Linked DNA regions of Cricetulus griseus. The protein of the gene in region 1 purifies or fractionates together with the protein of each later gene. This does not show direct contact. Links are inferred from orthologs where the notes say so. Each region holds a gene or a part of one and is shown on either strand. Other genes may lie near its edges.

Region 1 (4,433 bases):
TAAACTGCAAATGTACTTTTATAATTTAAGAAAAGGGACATAAAATGCTCCTGAAATAACCCAAGGCTTTATAAGTGTCCACCTGGTATTTCATGACAAAAATGTTCTATTGGAGAAGCTAGCTATCTGTGGACAGGGCAGCAGCTTCTATACCTCCCATTCCCATTCCCTTAATAGCCCTCCCATGTCCCTTACTAGCTATGAAACCTTGGATAAGGCTCTGGCAAAGGCTGAAAAAGTAACAAAAGGTAACTAGTTTGGTGAAGATCCCAGACACTGAAGTATCTAGGAAATAGGAGGGTGTTCAATGGGGATTGTAAAATCACTGGTATGTCCATTTTCACTGCAATTGAGAAAAAGGAAAAAAAATGACAAGCAAACAAAACAACGGTCTCAGGTATTATATCTAAAATAAATTTCTTTGACAGTATGATCACATGACTCTTACAAGGTATCATTTGTAACAAAAATCTAACAATTTACAGGCTGCATTTTTTTGTGCAGAGTACTCCAAAGAAAGAAAAGTATGTACATTTGTTTTGATTAATACAACTATTTAGAGTTCTGCAATACTGGGAAGGTGGAATGTATCTGGCACAAAAATAACTCCTAAGAGTTAGAAACTAGAAAACAACACTTTTAAAAAAAGATTTTTACTTTTCTGGTAGAAATATAAAAACTGGCTTATGTGGGAAAAGTTAAAATAAAAAGTCCAATTGTACAGGTGGCTTGAACACTTAAAAGTTCTGTCCCTTAAACCAACAAACTCATCAACAGCAGTGTTTAAAATCTAAATATAAATAAATGGGCAGTGCTGCCCAAGTAGCAGCACAGAGCAAGCGACTCACAGTAATGCTGCAGGGCAATCGATCTCACTGCAGAGGAGGTAACCTTTCAGTGTCCTGCAGTGGGACACACGGTGTCACTTCATGCTGCCACCTGTAACTGAGTGTCCTTCTCACAACTGTACCATGAGCGGTACCAAAACTGACGGGTTTTAAAAAACAAGTGGGTAGGGGAGGCAGGACATGGCAGCCACTATGTGGTCTTCCTGAATCCCTTTAAGATGGGGTAGATGTTTTCAAATGCTTCATAAATTTCTGCTCTAACTTTAGCACCTACAAAGACACATTGGAATAGAAACGAGATGGTTTAAGTAACATTTCTTAAAATAGAAAGTAACATCATTACCTTAAAACAAAGCCACAAATACAGTTCTCTCCATACCCAGTTAAGACAAACAAATGGTATTAAAATAAATGGTGGAGGCCCTTTGTCATAATCCTAGCCTTCCTTTTTTCTTTTTTAAGAGACAGGGTTTCTCTGTATAGCCCTGGCTGTCCTGGAACTTGCTGTGTAGACCAGGCTAGCCTGCCTCTGCCTGCTGAGTACTAGGATTAAGGGCCATGCCCCGCTCTCCAGCTTTTGTTTTTAAAACATTATTTTCTTAGCGTTTAAAGACTTTTAACTCTAGACCAGCATTTCCTCACCAGTTGGTCGCAGGCCAGGATCCACAAGTCAGCAAGCAAGGCAATACCCCCCACCCTCCTAGTATTCGTGTTTCCTCCTTGCCTGCTGCCACAGTCAAACATAGTCTAGCCGCAGGCTACAACTGTAGCAGAACTCTAGTGTTTTCACTCTTCCCCCTTTCTCATGAAGGATGGGAAGCAAAATGTAAACAAAATCTTCCTTACAAGTGGCTAGGCAGTTGTCCCAACACAGAAATCCCATCCTAAATTCTTTCCAAGTTTGGTACTCTATCCCTTTAACTTACCTGTTAATACAACTTTTCCAGAAACAAAAATAAGGAGAACAATCCTGGGTTTGATCATTCTGTAGATTAATCCAGGAAATAATTCTGGCTCATAGCTAGAAAGAAAATGGGAAAACAGTTTAGGAATCACCAGTTTTTTTTTTGTGTGTAAACACAATGAGGCCTTGTGTCAGGAAGTACTGAGTGAACAAGCCAGGTGTCCACAAATAGGACACACAAGAAGGAAACACTTTCACCAAGCAAGAGCCAAATGGCATGGATATGGCTTTCTATGCTGTCCTCACAGAATCTAGATTTTCTATGATAAAAACAAGACTGTATACTCACATTCTCTGACCCTCATTAGGTTCATTTTGGGCAAGTCTAGGGATAGCAGCTTAATCTCACCATGCACTCTTAAGAGTTGATAGTGGCAGTCAACCTTGTAATCATACATCACCTTCCTGAATAGAAATACTCTAACAGGGTGACTTAACCAGAGTGACAAACCATGAGCTTGGAAATGAACCTACTCCCTGATCACATCATCTACCTGAACTGACATTAATGAAATTCTAACCTAGTGATTTCAGGTTTGTTTAATCTGATAAAAGGACCTGTGTGTCTTATGTGTAACCTGGAAAAAAACTCTTTTGGGACAGGTTTATATGAAAAGGAGCAACACTGACTATCTGAAACTCAAAAAGGAATTTCTATGTTAAAAACTGAACCTAATGTGCCAGGTATAAAAGTACCATGTGTAAAGGCCCTGAAGCAAGAGGATTAGGGTAAGTGTGAGGGGGCTGGTGAGCTGATGTGGCCGCAAATAGAAAACAAATAACCGAGGTAAGGGTGAGAAGAAAATGGAAAGGAATAATAAAGGACAGCACATCCCTGCTTGCTCATTTGTATACTTTGCTGGTGTGTTGACAAAAAAGATTCAAACTAGGAGAAAAATGGTAGAAGAAACTACAAATTTATTTATGTAAATGGATTTACTGACTAACAAAATGATAAGGCATACAGAAGTGATCTGAGTCGCTCCAGGGAAGGAGTTTGGGTGTCGGTCACTGAGTGAAAGAGGGCAGCAAAAAGTGCAGTAGCACAATTGCAGAGATACCTTATGTTTACATGGAGCACACTCAACTTGCAACTACATCATAAGCTTAGAAACAGAATGTCTTACATGTACTTCACCCTGAATGATGCCTGAGTAGATAGTAAATGGATTGTTGCTAACACTAATCCCAATATCTCTCAGACCTACCTGCTGAACTGCTGGTGGGTCAGCACAAGGCCTTCCAGCCTTATGGGGAACTTCACATCACAGCTCCCCACCATGTTTTGGATCTTGAAGTCTAAGAACTTAGCTGGAAAGCCCAACTTCTGCACAACTCTAGCGTATTTTCTTGCTGCTAGTCTGGATTGTTCTTCACTAAAGAAAAAAGAAAAAACAGTGAGTATGTACAGAAGCCTAATGGAGTAATTCAGAAGAATAACTTAAATGGAGTCTAAATTAGAAAACTAATTAAACTATCCCTGTGACCTTAACAGAAAGGATAATCTACCAAAACATCAGCCTTGGATTTGCCAGATTACCGACAAGCTCTAGGTTTAAAGGATGTGATGTAGCATGTGATTCAATTATGATCATTGCTTTTACTACATTCTGACCCACAAATATCTACTGAGATGGAAACCTCATTTTTATATATAAAAAAAAAAATACTAAAGCCGGATGGTGGAACACACAGATTTAATCCTACCACTTGGGAGACAGAGGCAGGTGTATCTTGAGGCCAGCCTGGTATACAGAGCAAGTTCCAGGGATACACAGAGAAACCCATTTTTGAAAAACAAAACAACAACAACAACAAAAAACTGAAAAGACTAGTAAAATTTACTACTGACAAATACATAAATTCTATCTTCCTTTACATCAGATCTCCATCCACTCTTAGGACAACATTATTGGATGGAACTGACTTTCCAACTTAGCTTTCACCACAAAAGTAGGATGCAAATACTAAAGTACAGGAAATCAGGGGTAACAAAAATGAGAAGTGGGCATTGATGCTATTCAAAGTGATTAGGATAAACCATTAAAGATAACACATTGAAAGTGTTAGTCCAGGGCTGGAGAGATGGCCCAGTAGTAAAGAGCTGTGGCTGCTCTTCCAGAGGACCTGGGTTCAATTCTCAGCACCCACATGGCAGCTCACACCTGTCTGTATTTCTAGTTTCAGGGGACCCAGCACCTTCACACAGACGTACATGTAGGCAAAACACAAATGTACAGGAAATAAGAATAATATATATATGTTTGGTTCCAAGCATTTGAAAAAAACATGCTAATCCAGCAGGGCGGTGGTGGTGCACTGCTTTAATTTCAGCACTAAGGAGACAGAAGCAAGCAGAATTTTGTGAGTTCTAAACCAGCCTGGTCTACAGAGTAAATTCCAGGACAGCCAGGGCTACAGAGAAAAACCCTGTCTCAAAACAGACAAACAAACAAAAGTGCTAGCCTGATAATAGAAATGATGATATATCCCTTTTCTTTGATAATACATCCACCAGAAACAAAGAATCCCTTAAGAGTACAGTACCTCTTGGCTCCTGTGCACACCATTTTCCCAGAACTGAAAATCAGCGCAGTTGTCCTTGGCTCTCTTATTCTCAT
Region 2 (4,972 bases), on another chromosome or scaffold:
GCAAGCAGTGCGTGCCATCAAATTTCAAAATGGCTGTGTGGAGATCGGTTGATTTTGACGAGATCATCGAGGTGTCTGATGAGGTAAACTTCTCTACCCAAAATGAAAGGTTGTCAAAGCCCCTAAAGTTTAAGGTGTGGCGGGGGGAGTACTACCGGAGAATTTTAAGTAAAACAGTTTTTGTTATACATAAGAGATTCCCTTCGGTTGTGCGGAAGTGAAGGAGGCCTCGTTCCATTTTAGCACGCAGTTGGTGTGAAGGTGTTTCTTACCGTCACAGCTCTGGAACTAAATAGCGAAACACGATGAGATGTGATGTAATTTCGTAAGGTCACCCTGATAGGACTTGTTCCTACTTAAGGGGCTAAAGGAAAGATAGGATGATAGGTCGTGTCTGATCTAGGGGGTCAGGGCAACTATTTCAAAGGCGGAAGGTAGATAGAACAGTTGATGCAAGTAGGAACAGGATTCTTTGACACCTTTTTTTTTTGGGGGGGGGGGTCGAGACAGGGTTTCTCTGTGGCTTTGGAGGCTGTCCTGGAACTAGCTCTTGTAGTCCAGGCTTGTCTCGAACTCACAGTGATCCGCCCACCTCTGCCTCCCGAGTGCTGGGATTAAAGGCATGCGCCACCAACGCTCGGCTCTTTGACACCTTTTAAACTAGAGACTGTTAACTGATGTCTTTAATTCTGGAGGTCGGGAGAATAGGTGCCATGGCATGAACATCATGGCGCTCAAGCCCAGGGGCATTTTGTAGAGGAGGGCAGGTCATCAAATTTGTCTCATAGGAAGAGCCTTTACCCGCTATGGCCTCTTCTTTGCTGTTCCCTATGCCTAACGTATTCTGAAAAACATGGGACTGGGCAATCTGGGAGGCAAGAAAGGACCCAATTTGGACCTTAGTGGAGTGAACTGTTCGGAGTTTGAGAAGGGTAGAGGGAAGAAGGTGCCTATGTAGGCTTGACCAAAGCCCTACTTGTGCAGAGTACTGTCTATCTCAGTGATTCTCAACCTTCGTAAGGCTTCGACCCTTTAATACTGTTGCCCATGTTGTAGTGATTATTAAACTTACTAAATATTATTAAATTTTAATTATATATTATATAATTATTTGTATTTTTATATATTTACACGTTAAATATAATATATAAATATATTAAATGTTCAAATTATTACATTTAAATCATTAAATAAAAATATTAATTAAATTGAATCTCCATAAAATTATTTCATTGCTACTTCAGAACTGTATGAATCGTAATGTAAATATCTGGTATTTACAGGTTAAGAAACGCTGGTGGGATTGTGAGATTTAGAAAAGAGAGATTTCAGAATGCCTAATTAAATTTGAATGTCAGCTAAGCAGCAAATAATTTTGCAGTATCAGTATGGCCCGGGTAAATGTGGTAATACGCTTAGAAAAATGTATTCATTGTTAATGTGATATTCAGATGTAAGGTGTTGTTGAGTTTGTCTGTGCCGTGTTCACCTTAAGACTAGATGGAGGAAGGGCCTCTGCGGGAATTCCAGGAAACTGAAAGGACAGGTGGTCATTAAGGGGTATCAGAATGGTCTGAGCAGAGCTAGGGATGCGTTACTAGGACGACTTCTCTGTATCTCTCCATCACAGAGCCTGGAGCTGCCCCAGTCTGAGGTAGCCACGCCCACGCAGGTGGGGGCGAGCGTCTGGGAAGAAGCCCAGGCCTGCGAGCAGCAGTCTAGGCCCGCCTTCCATCCCCCACAGGGGTGGAGCCTGGGCGAGGAGGAATCAGCCTGCAGCTCTCTCAGCCTGGTTGAAGAGTCGCAGGAGAAAATGGAGTCTAGCAAGATGGCGCCTCCCAAGAACGCGCCTAGAGATGCCTTGGTAAGTGGGAGGGGAGGGAAGCCAGGCACACAGGAGGTGCCCTGTGTGGCCGACCCGACTGAGCGCCTGGCGGGGAGAAAAGGGGTTGCGTGTCATTTACAGCTGGGCGACGTGTCTGGGAAAGGGTAGTGGGGTTCACCGGTCCCTGGGGCGCCGTGCACGCTCCGGGGAGCCCCTCCAGAGGGGCGCGGGCTGCCTGGGGGCTTTTGTCTCGCTGGATCCGGACCGCCCCCGGTCCCCCAGGTCTGAAACCTCCTCTCTTCACCCAGTCTATGAGCCCTGACAGCGTCGTGGGTTCCGATGCTAGCTTCCCTCACTGTCACATCCGAAAATGACAGCCAGCTGGACCCACCCCTACCTCTGCCTGGAAACCTGGTCCAGGCCTTGTGTCTTTACTCCATCCTTGCTAAAATAAGTTTTCACCAAGAGCATATGACTGATTTTGTGTGTGCAGAAGGTACAAGGAGGAGCAGTTTGGGACTTTGTAGCAAACATAAAAATATACCACATTGTGCATCTGCTTTTTTTTGTTTTTATTTGAATCCACAGGTGATGGCACAGATCCTGAAGGATATGGGAATCACAGAGTATGAGCCAAGGGTTATAAATCAAATGTTGGAATTTGCTTTCCGTAAGTTTCTTTTTAATTGACTGTGAATTAGAAAGGATCATTTATTGTAGCACTTTAAACCAAATTCTGTTACCAATCTAGAGATGAGTAAAGCACTAAGGAGCTCAAGCTAAGGGACAGTAGTATTTATATATAGCATGTCTGTTTAAATAAAGTATCATGTGAATAGGACAATTATTTATTAAAATCAAGTCTTACATGTTCCAGAAACTAGTGGAACCTTTTAAAACAAGGAGCCATAAATACTAAGATTCTTGTCTTAATATATATTAATGTCTTCATGTAATAAAAAATTATTTTGCTCTTAAAGGATATGTGACCACGATTCTGGATGATGCAAAAATTTATTCAAGTCATGCTAAGAAACCTACTGTTGATGCAGACGATGTGAGATTGGCAATCCAGTGTCGGGCTGACCAGTCTTTTACCTCTCCTCCCCCAAGAGATGTAAGCAAACATTTATTTGCAGTTATTTTTACTTACACTTTAAAAATCATATTTCTAATGAGGATTTTTCTTTTAGTTTTTACTAGATATTGCAAGGCAGAAAAATCAAACTCCTTTGCCACTGATTAAGCCATATGCAGGACCTAGACTGCCACCTGATAGATACTGCTTAACAGCTCCAAACTATAGGCTGAAGTCCTTAATTAAAAAGGTAAGAATTTCTGGCTTGTTCCTGGAATCCCAGGCAGGAAGATCAGGAGATCAAGGTCATCCTTATGTCTTCAGGGCAATCCTGAGCTAAGCCAATCTCTTATCTCAAAAAAAGGAAGCTTCAGTTTATGGTTTATGTCTTTTAAAAGGTGGAATAGGCAAACTTATAAAAAGCAAACTTCCTGTAGATAGCATAGTAAAGGTTAAAATGATCCTTAGAATTTTTTTTTTAATTTTCAGAGCTAGAAAAAACTTTATTTCATCTAACCCAGTGGGAACTTTTCTCATCATACAACTGGACCTGAACTCATGGGCTCATGGAGCTAGGACTGATTCCCAGATCTAGTAGCTCAGTTTTTGTACTTTGCCACAGGTTTTTTTTTTTTTTTTTTTTTTTGTGTGTGTGTGTGTGTGTGTATGAGAGAGAAGAGAGAGAGAGGAGAGAGAGAGAGAGAGAGAGAGAGAGAGAGAGAGAGAGAGAGAGAGAGAGAGAGAGAGAGAGAGAGAGAGAGAGAGAGAGAGAGGTGCAATGATGAGGTAAATTGCCATCGGCAAGTAGACCTTTGTCAGACATATGAATGACCTTAGGCTCTTTCAGCACTGAGAAAGGAACTCTCCATATCTTTGAAACTCTGCTGTGAGACAGTTTTCATTTAGGCACAGTTAAGACACTAAGTTGTATTTGTCTCCATTCATAAGACTCTACCTTAAATACTCTGCCGAATTAGATAGGGTCTTAACTGTGTATGTATGTATGCAAAAACTCCAAATATTGGATTTAAATCATAGAAGAGTTCAGTCCTCAGTAGCATGACCAAAAGAAAAAGAAAACACAGTTAAAACAGACATTTTTGCATTGGATCATGCACTATTAACTCACATCAAGTTATACTTTCACTCTTCATCAAGTTTAGGTGTCAAATCTTAACATTAAAACTAACTTGTGTTTAAATCCCCTAGGGACCTAACCAAGGAAGACTAGTTCCTAGATTAAGTGTTGGTGCTGTCAGTAGCAGACCTACTACTCCTACTGTAGGTAAGTTAAAGAGGGAACTGGCATTTCTGGACAGTGAAAACATCGTCTCAGCATTTGCTTTTGAACCATAACCCAAGTCAAAATGAGAGTCAGAAACTCTGGTATGTTGCCAATGATAATTTTACTCAATGAAAAAAAAAACCCACAAAGACTGATCCCAAATGGCATTGGCCCAACTCTTACTGTTATAAACTGTGATTCTAGAAACACTTAGACCTTTTATGCTTCGAGTCACCAAGCACACCCATGCCAACTTAATCGAAACTCCATAAATTGAGTACAGGTTCAAAGAAGTTTAAAATCTATAGAAAGCTCAAGGATCTTAAAAACAGGTTTTAATACTTATCTTTTAAAAAACAGTACAAGGACCATCCTGGGTGACATAGAAAGACTCCATTTCAAAACAGAAAATCATAGTAATTATCTTATACTGGTCAGTGAGAACCCTCAAGGTGTGTCCCATAATGAATTTAATAGCTCTCCATCATACTGTGTACATTTCTGACATACAATGGTCAAAGCCTGTCTTATATTCTTTTCCAGCTTTTGGAATCAACCACTTTTCCAAAGACCCTTAGTTCTTTTTAGTGAATGGTGTTTAGGAACCATTATTTGTAACAATTAAAAAAAAACAAGCTTTCTGATTTTTTTCATGTTTTCTGATTTTTCATGTTTTGCAGGGAAAAAATCCTCTTCTTTTTTCACTTGTACTAATTTCATGGCTCTTGCTGCTTTTAATTTGAGTCTTTCCAGTGTCATTACACTTCTAGTATAAGAATGATTA

What was found. The genes of interacting proteins can lie anywhere in the genome.
Region 2: the proteins of Tbp (region 1) and Taf9b purify together in Homo sapiens (affinity purification with mass spectrometry; 3 studies listed by BioGRID and IntAct, with this or other methods). This does not show direct contact. The link is inferred for Cricetulus griseus from reciprocal best matches to the Homo sapiens genes TBP and TAF9B.

The regions. Positions count from the first base shown.
Region 1 is NC_048595.1:294,452,189-294,456,621, reverse strand, and holds part of Tbp (TATA-box-binding protein), read right to left. Parts: coding exon 4,360-4,433; intron 3,189-4,359; coding exon 3,021-3,188; intron 1,870-3,020; coding exon 1,775-1,869; intron 1,119-1,774; coding exon of another isoform or gene 1,039-1,118; exon of another isoform or gene 394-1,038; intron 1-393. UniProt on the Homo sapiens protein: The TFIID basal transcription factor complex plays a major role in the initiation of RNA polymerase II (Pol II)-dependent transcription.
Region 2 is NC_048604.1:64,531,689-64,536,660, forward strand, and holds the start of Taf9b (transcription initiation factor TFIID subunit 9B), read left to right. Parts: upstream 1-1,719; 5' UTR 1,720-1,813; coding exon 1,814-1,864; intron 1,865-2,413; coding exon 2,414-2,495; intron 2,496-2,805; coding exon 2,806-2,942; intron 2,943-3,018; coding exon 3,019-3,153; intron 3,154-4,112; coding exon 4,113-4,188; intron 4,189-4,972. UniProt on the Homo sapiens protein: Essential for cell viability. TAF9 and TAF9B are involved in transcriptional activation as well as repression of distinct but overlapping sets of genes. May have a role in gene regulation associated with apoptosis.